Linked DNA regions of Daphnia pulex. The protein of the gene in region 3 purifies or fractionates together with the protein of the main gene of each other region. This does not show direct contact. Links are inferred from orthologs where the notes say so. Each region holds a gene or a part of one and is shown on either strand. Other genes may lie near its edges.

The links.
Region 1: the proteins of protein Gawky-like (region 3) and PAN2-PAN3 deadenylation complex catalytic subunit PAN2-like purify together in Homo sapiens (affinity purification with western blotting; 3 studies listed by BioGRID and IntAct, with this or other methods). This does not show direct contact. The link is inferred for Daphnia pulex from reciprocal best matches to the Homo sapiens genes TNRC6C and PAN2.
Region 2: the proteins of protein Gawky-like (region 3) and CCR4-NOT transcription complex subunit 1-like purify together in Homo sapiens (co-immunoprecipitation; 4 studies listed by BioGRID and IntAct, with this or other methods). This does not show direct contact. The link is inferred for Daphnia pulex from reciprocal best matches to the Homo sapiens genes TNRC6C and CNOT1.

What each region holds. Positions count from the first base shown.
Region 1 is NC_060021.1:6,585,459-6,589,655, forward strand, and holds the start of PAN2-PAN3 deadenylation complex catalytic subunit PAN2-like, read right to left. Parts: upstream 2,844-4,197; 5' UTR 2,797-2,843; coding exon 2,501-2,796; intron 2,404-2,500; coding exon 2,283-2,403; intron 2,215-2,282; coding exon 2,154-2,214; intron 2,097-2,153; coding exon 1,961-2,096; intron 1,899-1,960; coding exon 1,234-1,898; intron 1,169-1,233; coding exon 1,008-1,168; intron 946-1,007; coding exon 679-945; intron 608-678; coding exon 307-607; intron 233-306; coding exon 39-232; intron 1-38. Other genes in the region: DNA-directed RNA polymerase III subunit RPC1-like, read left to right, coding at 3,068-3,111, 3,190-3,325, 3,383-4,197. UniProt on the Homo sapiens protein: Catalytic subunit of the poly(A)-nuclease (PAN) deadenylation complex, one of two cytoplasmic mRNA deadenylases involved in general and miRNA-mediated mRNA turnover.
Region 2 is NC_060019.1:12,280,285-12,283,886, forward strand, and holds part of CCR4-NOT transcription complex subunit 1-like, read left to right. Parts: coding exon 1-294; intron 295-370; coding exon 371-711; intron 712-781; coding exon 782-1,825; intron 1,826-1,893; coding exon 1,894-2,770; intron 2,771-2,831; coding exon 2,832-3,130; intron 3,131-3,197; coding exon 3,198-3,602.
Region 3 is NC_060018.1:6,003,495-6,007,596, reverse strand, and holds the start of protein Gawky-like, read right to left. Parts: upstream 2,892-4,102; 5' UTR 2,497-2,891; intron 332-2,496; exon of another isoform or gene 1-331. UniProt on the Homo sapiens protein: Plays a role in RNA-mediated gene silencing by micro-RNAs (miRNAs). Required for miRNA-dependent translational repression of complementary mRNAs by argonaute family proteins.

The DNA.
Region 1 (4,197 bases), on a different chromosome or scaffold from region 3:
TCGTGTTAAACTGTGCATTATGAATATTAAAAGTTTACTTGTAGTTGATCTGACCAAAATCGAAAACCTTTATAGGTATCGTTAGCACAGGACAGAGCAAGAACTGGCGGTAATGTTAGACAACGTCTTCTTTGCTGAGTTGCTTGATATTTTTGACAAACTTCACACCAGGCCGGAGTCACACTTGCTACGTCAAAACTCTTTTCAAGTACATGTTCGAAGCTGTGTTCATCTATTGATCGAGTGAGTAAAATATAGACAAAGTGCCTTGTAAATTAGGTATAATAAAAAATATATGTCACTAACCCTCCACATCTTGCAGAGTAAGGGAAGAGAGAAGCACAGGCGAAGTTTTAGAATTTTCGCTTCCACATTTTGTGCAGCGGCTAATCTGCTCTTGTTCAACACCAAACAGTTTAGAGATAGGAGACACTGGTGACAGACCATCCTCAGAAGGTGAAACATCTCTTTCCGGTTTAATAGAATTTTCCGTACCTTCTCCGTTAAATTCTACTAAATTACTTGTAATTGTGGTCGATTCTTTTGTTATCTTGCTTTGAGGCAAGGTTTCGCTGCTAAGTTGTTGAAGAATAAAACGAGCCCAGCTCTGTAACATTAAATTTACAAATATTTTGAATCAGTGTCACAAAGAGAAACTAATATATAACTGAAAATTACCTGAGCAAGCCTAGGAAGTGTACTTTTTATCTTTATTTCAGGATGATTTTCTGCCATCAACAGTCCCATTGCCGAAGCTTCGGGAAGAGTGCGGAAAGCCCGAAGAAAATTAGATGGTTGGACTGTAACTGGAGTACTAGTAGGATCTTGATTTCTACCAACATCCAGCATATGAAAAAGGAATGACAGCTCACAGGCAAGACAAAATTCTCGGTTGCAGGAATGCTCAAGAAGACAATGACGTAATTCCGGAATGAAATATAACACCTTCAATTAAGAAACGAACAGTCAAAATGCACAGATCAAAATGTAAGCAATCAGACTCATACCTGCAGCAAAGAGTTTGCATATGAATAAGGAAGTGTATTATCCAAACCGCAGAGGGGCGTGGAATTGTAACGAGCTAACTCATTTTCGTCAAGGCCACCCTTTGTGTACCTCATCTCGATATGACGATATCGTTTCCACACTTGATAGCATTCAGTATCTTCTGTAAGGGAAATTGGCTAAAAATGGTGAAAACATAAAAATTGTGAAAAATTAATTCAGACTAACCCTTTGAATGTGTTGAATCCGTTCCCGAATGTTTCTGACCACGTTGTGTTCGTTTTTCGGCTGAGTAGGCCACTTGATTAGGTCTATGATCAGCTGGACTTGGAGCATAACCAATAGTGCCTACCATGCGCATATTTGACAGAATAGCATGATCAATAGGTGGAACTTTACGGAATCTCCTGCGGGTAAACTGTTCCGGCCAATCTGATAGCAGCGGCGAATTGTGTTCTAAGGGGAAAGGGATTGAAGTGAGTGGCGTCGTAGTATCGTCCATGGCGATCGAAACCGGAAGGGATTCTACTGGATCGGCAAATTCCGTCGGTCGAGAAAAGCTGTTAAATAAAGCTGATGCGTTTGATGCAAAGGTGTGAACATATCCACCGGCATCCCCCACAGCTAAGCATTGGCAAGAAGATGAAACTTCAAGAGCCATGCACATAGCACCCTCGTTATTCACTTGGAAAAGTTGAAGAGCTGAAGATGCAGGAGCAGCTGCATCAAGAACCTGTAACTGTCCCATGGCAGAGATAACCGCCAATTGGGACGAGAATGCTGGTAAGAACCGCAATAGAAATGGTTCTCCGACCACAGGAACTGGACTGAGAGCTCGTAACATTCTAACATCGTAAATTTTCAAAAAGCGATCCGAAACCACACCTCCCTGCCTATTTAATAAGTACAACTGGATAATTTAACTTACTTCTGTTATATAATATAGAAAAATTACCTGGATGAAAACCCACAAGTCACAATCAAGTTGTTATGAACATCAAAATCTGAAAGGCTTTCAGTATGTGCTACAAATTTATGCTCTTCACGTAAAGTTCGAGGATCTCTTAATGATACGCATCCACTAGCGTCACCTAGTTATTTAAGGAAGGATGAATTTTTATTTGTGTATTTCATAAGAATTTTTGTACCTGAGCAGATAAATCTAGGGTGTCGTCTCAGAATTGCACATCCCTTTTCTCCTACATCAAACTAATAAACCAATAGAAATATATTTATCATAAATGTTATGGAGGTTATGGTTTTTAACTTCACTTTACTTTTGTTGTTTCCTTCGCTGTCACAAGGTCAAATTCTACTACCAGCGGTTGGTGTCCTCCAAGTAGAACTGTTGTGGGCCCTGTTTGTAACAAGCATTGTAGATCTTCACAAGTACTTGAGCTAGAAGAAGTTTATATTAAATTGTTATTTTTATGATATATTGTGGATGATTTTCTTACGTAAACAATTTAGAAAATTTACACTCAATTATGCAAACCTGTAAGTGAATAATGGGACACCTCTCCTTTGTTGGCATCTAAGAGTGTTTGGGGTTACTATAAGTAAACCAGCATCAAAAGAAATCATCTGTCTGACTTCTTGAGATGCATGAACTTGGAATGATGTGTATTTGTGTAGAGAAGAGCCATAATAACTAGTGACATGTCCTCCTTGATTACCAACCCAAAGCAGCTCTTCCTGAAGGTCCCAATGAATTGCGGACACACCAAATCTATCTCCACCATCAATTAAAATCGAAGATTTCTCTGAAAAAACGCCAACATTGAAATCCATCTTTCAACTTCAAGACATTTCGTTTCGTTTTGCTGTAAAGTGCCACCTAGGGGCTGCGTTTGTTAACTTACTTAGATAGTCAACATAGTCAACACTAGTTGACGACGAATTCATTACGAAAAGAAAAAAAGCTCATCACTCTTTAGTCTTTTCCTGCCATCAATAATTCGTCTGATCGATGCCGGTGTAACACGTGCTTTTTATTTCTTCATTTCAATTATTTTATCATTTTAAACTATTTCAAGTGGATGATTGAAAACTAGTTTTAACGATGGTGAAGGAGCAATACCGTGAGACTGACGTTATTAGAAAAATGTAAGTTTTTTTAACACTCAAAATTCTAATTCACATTAGTATAGGTATAGAAGATTAAATACGATTATGTACTTTTAGAGCAAGAGTAAGCTTTGGAATTGAAAGTCCGCAACAAATACAACAGCAATCTCACATTCAAGTGGTAGCTCAGAATTTGTATAACCGAGATGCTGGACGAACACCTATGCAGTATGGAATGTTGGACAGAAGAATGGTAATTTACTCTTTAAATATTTAAAGAGATCCACACTTAACTGCTATTTTTTCATAGGGGATGAGTGTTAAAGATGCAATATGTGGTACTTGCGGAAAAGGGCTGACAGAATGTGTAGGCCATTTTGGTTACATTGATTTGGAACTTCCAGTTTTCCATGTTGGATACTTCAAGGCTGTAATTACTATCTTGCAAACAATTTGCAAATCTTGCTCTCATGTAATGCTTAATGAAAAGATGAGAAAAATTTACAGAGCCAAACTAAAGGGTTCAAAAATACCTTATCTAAATAAGAAAGCACTGAGGAAGCAAATTCAAGAAGTATGCAAAAAAGTAACACGCTGCCCAAACTGCAATGACATCAATGGCATGGTGAAAAAGTGTGGCATGCTGAAGATATCCCATGAAAAATTTAGAAGTATCAAGAAAGACAACGTTATTTTAAAAAATGAGTTAGTGGCTTATGAGAATGCTGTGCAGTTCAACAAGGAGATTGAACCAATGTTGTCATCTGGCTTGGTTAAAATGTTAAATCCACTTGAAGTACTTCATCTGTTTGAGAGAATTCCAGACGAAGATATCCAATTTTTGGTGATGAATCCTGAACATGGGCATCCAAAGGACATGATTCTCACCCGTGTTCCAGTTCCTCCTGTTTGCATTCGACCTTCTGTAGTGTCCGATTTGAAATCGGGGACAAACGAGGATGATTTGACAATGAAACTAACAGAAATTGTCTTCCTGAATGATGTCATTGTTAAACACCGTCTCTCGGGTGCAAAAAGCCAAATGATTCTAGAAGACTGGGATTTTTTGCAGTTACAATGTGCACTTTACATCAACAGTGAATTATCCGGAATTCCCTTGAATAT
Region 2 (3,602 bases), on a different chromosome or scaffold from region 3:
ACGTCCTGAATCGTGCCCGAGCGCAACCCCCACCTGGCGTCTTGAAACCTATCCGTCCTGGCAGTGGAGTTGGAGTTGACGTTTCATTTCCACCAGGAACCTTAAGCAGCCAACTATTTCCGCCTCCTGGAGTTGACTCAACTGGTCTTTCGCCCAGCCTTAGTAGCATGGGCTTAGGTCCACCAACTTCATCTGGATTTGCTGTTAATATTGGGTCCAATACACTCGGAGGAAATACTCCAGCCCCCGGATCGCCTGGAAAATTGTTCTCTAGCATGTCTTTGCTAGAAACTGGTAATGAATTACACCATTCGAAATCGACTCATCCAATTCTTATAACTAATATTTATTTACTTGTTTTGCTTTTCAGGAGTCAATCAGCCAACGGTTGTGGGGATGCCAAACAATTCCAACTCGAGTCAGAACCAAAGTACTTTCTCCATTTTTTCTTCATTAACTGGAACTGGAGCAATGCCTGGATCATCCAGTACAAATCCACTGGGCATAGGTATTCCATCTTCTATGGCGAGTGGAAGCGGGAACGGTCAATCAAGTATGGGTACGAGCAATATTGGATCTGGTACGGCTGGTTCTCCTGGATCGATTGTCAATGGCCCTGTTCGAGTAGGAATGAATCCTCACCTAGGCCAAGAACGAAGAACCGGCGATGTATCTAGTGCTTTTGCTGACATGCCACAAGCTGTTTCAAAAGTAAGCTAATATTTTTTTTATTTTTATTTTCCCCACACCTAATGGACGCATTCGTGTTTGTGTAACAAAGGATATCGAAGACGAGACAAATAGTTATTTCCAGCGGATTTACAACCAATCGCCTTCAACGCCTACCTTGACAGTCGATGAAGTTCTTGAACTTTTGAAGAAGTTTCAACATTCGACTAACCGCCGTGAACGGGAGATATTTGACTGCATGTTGAGGAATCTATTCGAAGAGTATCGTTTCTTCCCTCAGTATCCAGATCGCGAGCTGCACATAACGGCTCAGTTGTTTGGTGGAATCATGGAGCATGGTCTCGTCACCTACATGGCTCTGGGAGTGGCACTACGTTACGTACTTGAAGCTGTCCGGAAACCACACGGGACGAAGATGTACTATTTTGGGATCACTGCCTTAGATCGGTTCAGACATAGATTGAAGGAATATCCGCAATATTGTCAACATTTGGCCAGCATTCCGCATTTTCGGGAGTTCCCGCCGCATCTAATCGAGTATATCGATAATGGCTCCCGTGGCGTCGAGCCACCCAATCGTCCTCATGGTCCAGTCTTACCTCAAGTGACGACAGCTGCCAAAACCACTACTCCGACTACGCCAACTACAACGGTTGCTGGTAAAACGACCTCTACTGCTGCACCTATGAGTGGTCGACCGTCAATAGCAAACGCGACCAACATCGACACATTGCTGGTTGCTTCGGAGAAAGACGTCTTAATTGTAGACCCACCAGAGAGCGTCCAAGACAAAGTCAGCTTCATATTTAATAATCTGAGTCAATTAAACCTGACGCAAAAGTGCGAAGAATTGCGTGACATTGTGGGTGAAGAACATTGGTCTTGGGTAGCCCAGTATCTGGTGATGAAAAGAGCTTCAATTGAACCAAATTTTCACACACTCTATTCAAACTTCCTTGACACACTGAAGCTATCCGAGCTCAGTCGACTTGTCATTGGTGAGACGTTCCGCAATATCAAGGTACTCCTTCGTAGTGACAAGGGAATAGCAAATTTCTCAGATCGCACACTGTTGAAAAATCTTGGTCATTGGCTTGGACTTTTGATGCTATCTAAAAACCGGCCGATTCTACAGGTAATTCATTATTTTATTTTTAAATTGTGTACCAATTTTGCTAAACTGCAACTTCATTTAATATTCAGGGAGATATTGATTTAAAATCAATTCTAGTCGAAGCGTATCACAAAGGGCAACAAGAACTTCTGTACGTCGTACCATTCGTGGCGAAAGTCTTAGAGTCATGTGCTAAGAGCAAAGTGTTCAAACCACCCAATCCATGGACCCTAGGAATCATGAATGTTTTGGCAGAACTACATCAGGAGCCTGACTTGAAACTTAATCTTAAATTTGAAGTCGAAGTTCTTTGCAAAACTCTAGCCATTGATATTCACGATCTTAAGCCGGGAGTAGTCTTCAAGGATCACAATCGTCTGTCACGTTTGGAACCGCAGTTGTCCCAGCCGCAATTACAGCAAATGTATCAACCAGCACCACAATTGCAAATCATTCAGCAGCAGCAGCAGCAACTTCAACAGCAGCAGCAGCAACAACAACAACAACAGCAGCAGCAGCAGCAACAACAACAACAACAGCAGCAACAACAACAACAACAGCAGCAGCAGCAGCCACCACCACCGCCACAACTTGCTGGCTCACCTGCACAACAAATGCAATCCCAGCCTGGCACAACTACTCCAACACCAGCCCACGCAATTCAAGGCCCTCCTGATCCGAGGTTTTCTTATTTGGACATCAATGTCACTTCGTTGGCCGGACTAGCTCAGCATCTAGTAGTTAATAATAACATACCGCTGTTGACGGCGCATCCGAATTTAAGGATCCTTATCCGACCAGCTGTTGAACGAGCTGTTCAAGAGTGTATTCATCCAGTTGTTGATTGGTCTATGAAAATAGCCTTGACCACTTGTGAGCAAATCATAAAGAAAGACTTTTCACTCGACGCGGATGACACCCGCATGCGCGCTGCTGCTCATCACATGGTTCGCAGTCTCAGTGCAGGTATGTCTCGTTTAAATTTGTTGATGTATATAGAATTTATATTAAAATTGTGTATATTTAGGCACGGCATTGATTCGCTGCCGAGATCATTTGCTATTGACGATTGCAAACAATCTCAAGACAGCATTTTCTGCTGCCTTGCAGAGGAGCACCAGCCCTCAACAGAAGGAGTTGGTTGAACAAGCAGCCACTTTGACCGCTCAAGATAACGTTGAACCAGCGTGTGCGTTTATCCAAAAGACAGCCGTAGAGAAATCCATTTCGGAAATCGATAAACGCCTTGCCACGGAGTTCGATTTACGCAAGCACGCTCGAAACGAAGGCAGGAGATACTACGACCCCGCTGTTTTCGCCTATCAGGTACACACGTCTCTTATTTTACGTCTGGCAAACTAAACGTTACAAAAATATATCTTTTATTATTCAGGCCGATCGAATGCCGGAACCCATTCGTTTGAAAATGAGTGGCGTTACACCCCAACAAGCTGCCGTATATGAGGAGTTTGCCCGATACATCCCTGGATTCTTACCTGTCACCGAACGAGATGCAGCCATGCTTGTGCCTAAGATGATCCCCACGTTTACCAACGATGAAATTGGGGTCATTTTGGAAAAAGTCGCCATGGAATTGGAGCGTTTCTTGCAATCACTGTTGCCATTGGGCAGCTCAACGCAAGCAGTTGCGATTGGCTCTCTATTGGAAGCTGTCATTTTGGCTCGTTCTTCACGTGAACACGGAGCACATATTACTTTACTTCAAAAAGCTTTCGAAGGACTGGTGGAGAGCTTAACCAGTTTCGCTACGACCGGAAATGATCCGGAAGCCGTCGTC
Region 3 (4,102 bases):
AAGGGAAAATGGAGGATATAGATGGAGGGGAGGGAAAACGATCGGTGCCAAAAAAAAAACTATGGAGGAACACGACACACCAGAATGACTTAGGTACTTGGAAATGGATGATTCTTTGCTTTGTAAGAAATAATATATGTGTTGTTGTTAGGAAAAAAAAACGGGTCTTCGTTGGAGCGGGACCGCGGCTGTTTCAACATCCACTGAGATACGACGAGCGCGCACACAAAACACAAGTCAGTCTACACACACAGCCGACGAGTGAGAGAAAGAGAGGAGGAAGGGGGCCAACAGCGTCTCGTCCATGCGCCATTGCCAGATTGTCTTTCTTTCGCCTTTTATTTCAATTGACCAGTTTTTATTTTTTCAGATTTTTATTTATTTATTTGGAAAGGAAATAAGAAAGTGCAAAGTCGTAAATATTTAATTCTGTTTCTCAATAATCATTTTCGTATTTTTGACGCTGAATGACGCGCTAGTTATTTTTTTCCCGTGTAAAATCGTCTTTTTTATTTCTAGATTTGGTTCGTGAAAGATGGTAACTTTAGACATCTCCCGGAAATCTTTTCCACACTTGTTCGTAACGTAAGACGCATTAGAAATGAGTTCCTTTAGAAACCTCGTGATTTCAAAAGGAACAAACAAATAATAATTTTTTAAAAAATGGAAAAATAAGAAGGAAGCGTCACGAGGGCCATACAACGGGATCGAATGTAAACACACACACACAGAGAGCGCACGCTACAAGGAGAAGCCGGAGCGGACGCGTCGAGTTATTGATCCGCGTGAAAATATAGTCGGACAAGTCTAAAAAGGACTGTGCCCTACCCCTCTCTTCCAATTTTCTAGCCGCACGGCCTCCGCGTGTGTGGTACTGTATACATCCGCGTATACATGGGAAACCGTGCACGTGAACCATTAAATAGTCCAAGTGAAACCTTAGATTTTCGGTATCTCATCATCGCCAAGTTTTTCTGCTTCGAGACTTGCCAAAATTGTGTCTCTCCCTCCCACCCAAGTTTCTGGTTGGCTTTCCAACCCCAAACCCTGAAAATCCCCTTTTTCTTTAAGGTTTGTGTGTCGTCTCTCTTTTGTGTCGACTAAAAAACAGATCGATATCAAAAGGCCCATTATAACTTGATGGGCGGTAAGAAAGATAAAGAAGGGGGGTTTGATTTTCATCCCTTTGAAGAAGAGAGAGCGAGATGAGCCGAGGTAATGGCATCCCGAACCAGCCCAGCTAGTAAAGGAACCAGCTGATTTATTCAATCTGGATCAGCGCCAGGGTTGGAAAGACTCCGGAAAGTGATGGCAACGGCCATTCCAGCGGGCAATCTTCTCTCTTTTCCTTTTTATTGTTGTCAGTCTTTCCTTTTTCGCAGTCTCATCGGGAGTTGGGTTGAACACAGCAGCGTGAAGGGGGAGCTGCCAGCAAACAAAATCGATGACCAGTCGGACACAACGCCATTTCCACTATCCAGCCAGCCAGCCAGGCTGACTAACCTACAAGTCCGCCAACATCAACAAAACTCAATAGAGCCCCCCGTAGTCTCTGCTGCGCTTCCTGCTACTACTATAGACGGCTGGCTAGTTTGTGCAACGTCAAAGCCAACCCAATAAAACAACCACCTCTTTTGCCAATCACGATGTGTATACAAAACCCGATTATTGGTGTACAATCGATTGACAGAACAAAAGACGAGAATCCCAATAAAAGTCGTACAACTTTTTTGTCCCATTTTTAAAAACAATCATATAAGACAGGCTTGAGCTGCTGGGTTTCAAATGCTTTGTTTGGCTTTATTTTGCAGCAATCGAGACAATGTCACAAGTTCAGTTTGGGCTGTGTAGACCCAACGGATCTACGTCTATATATCCCGTGAGCGTTCGGGTCCCCGGTGCTGATTGGTTGAAAGTCGAAATGTCCCGCCCCCATGTCATTTAATGCCTTTCCTTTCCAGCTCGTCCTGCCGTGCCAAAAGCGTTCTACCGTAAGTTTATATTGTCGATGTGTGTGTATAAATACTGGCGTAGGAAAAAGAAGAGAAGAGAAGGAGGAGCGAGTCATGCAATGCAAGAGAGAAAGTCATGTAGCCTCAATTTTTCGTCTCTCTTTACATGTTCAATCATCACAATTCTCCCTTCGCACTTCCATTCGCTTCAAAAGGTGAAAAATACGAAAGAGAGAAAGAAAGAAAAACGATAAAATGGCCTGGGCACACTACGGAATTCAACACAAAGCTCTCGAGCTGCATCCTGTAAGCGACGACATGGCGTAGTTATATAAATATGGCCAAAGTTGTTGGAAACAACACACACACAATGGCCAGAAAGAGAAAAATAAGATTTTTCGATGGAAAATGGACGACAAAAATATAAACGTATGCGCGGAATAATTGAGAAAGGTATCAACAGAAAAATGGCGTCTCTGGGAGAATTTGGGGTACACATAGCTCAAGGGTTGTTTTTGCCCTTTTTTGTTTTGTTTCTCCTTACCTGCTGCTGGAAAAGGCTCTTGTTCATTTTTCCACGCTCGTGACACGAACTCGACGCTTCTCGACGATCGATTGTTGGGCTCGATTCGAGATTGGATTGCACACTCGGTTTTAGACACACACACACCAGCAACACGGCTTTGCGCACTCACTTTAAATTAGAGCTGTGTAATTCAAATCCAGTTTTATAGAGAGGAGAAAAGAGGAAAAATAAAAACCCAGAGTGAAATGGCCTCTGTTGTGCTCACTTCGTCGCAGCCTGGAATTTGACTGAATGACTTGTACAGTACAACACACACACCACACCAGCAGCAAGTAAGAAGAGTCTTCTCTTTTTTACTTTTTCAGAGTAAATCTCCTTCCAATGCCCTTTCGGTGGTGTCTTACAGCCGACGAGCCTCTCTCTCCTGTTGGTGCTGGGCTTCGTGATCGACTCAATCGAACTAAACAATCGATTCTCAGTGAGTTGTGTTTTCCATGACTCCGCCCACTTTTCCAATCCCCCCTCTCTTCTAATGACTCCCGACAGGGTCGACTTCCTTATCGGTTTTTCGGCGCGTGTTCCACTGTTAAAAATTAAAAAAAAAAAGAAAACGTTTGCTAAAAGATTATATAAAAATAAACTACATTTCCTCAGACTGTCTCTTTTTCGTTTGCTTGTTTTTGTTGTTGGTATTTGTTCTCGTGTCTTAAATAGCAAATAGGTTACTGGCTTTTTTCAGCAGCTCGAAAAGCTGTCGCACTAAAGCTTTTACAAACAAAACATGTATACACGGGGGCGAGTAGCAGCAGCAGCATAACTAGGTTAACCGCAAAAACATGTATACTGCACTCGGTGGTGGTGGATAGTTCCCAGTTGTAAAAGGCGAGTTCCAGATGGAAGATAAGGCTCTTCCTTTCTCTCTTACGTCCAATCCCACCGCTTTACATAATGTTTTGTACTAGTCCTCTCAAGTTTTTAACCGAAATTTAGTTGTCGACACTCGAATGAATTCATCGCAGGATTTTGAAAGAAAAACAACTACAAATCCGCTATTAAAATTATTCGATAACGTTATTGAGACAATAAATAGAATTTGTTTTGTCCTAGACATAGATAACGGAGAGGGGGAGAATTCCAGTGAGACTGGCGCGCCACATCGCCTCCCGCGTTCACCTTCTCCAATAATGTGATTAGTTGAGATCACGTTGACTAGATGGCACGTCCGTGTCACGACGATCGTGAATAAAGAGACAAAATTAGAAAATTGATACTCTTTCTTCTTCTTCTTTTAACTAATTCAAATGAAACGATTTCACGGTGATTCAGCTTTCCGTGTTTAGCTCAGCACCAGAAAAGACACGGGTCCCTCCCTCCTTTTTAAGCCACTTTGATTGTTTCACGTTCATAATTAATTGCGTTTCGCTTCATTTGTTTCAAAGTTTTATGCGTTTTAACATGGAAAACGCCCGCGCTGATTGAAAACTTTCCCTGTTGGTTTTGGCGATAAGCAAATGGCAATCTGCTGCAACCAATGACTCAATTAAATTGACTTTTTTTGCTTGTAAAATCCCGTCCAACATTCATCGCGTCCTTGGCTGGAGCGCAACAAATTAGGGGATTCCGG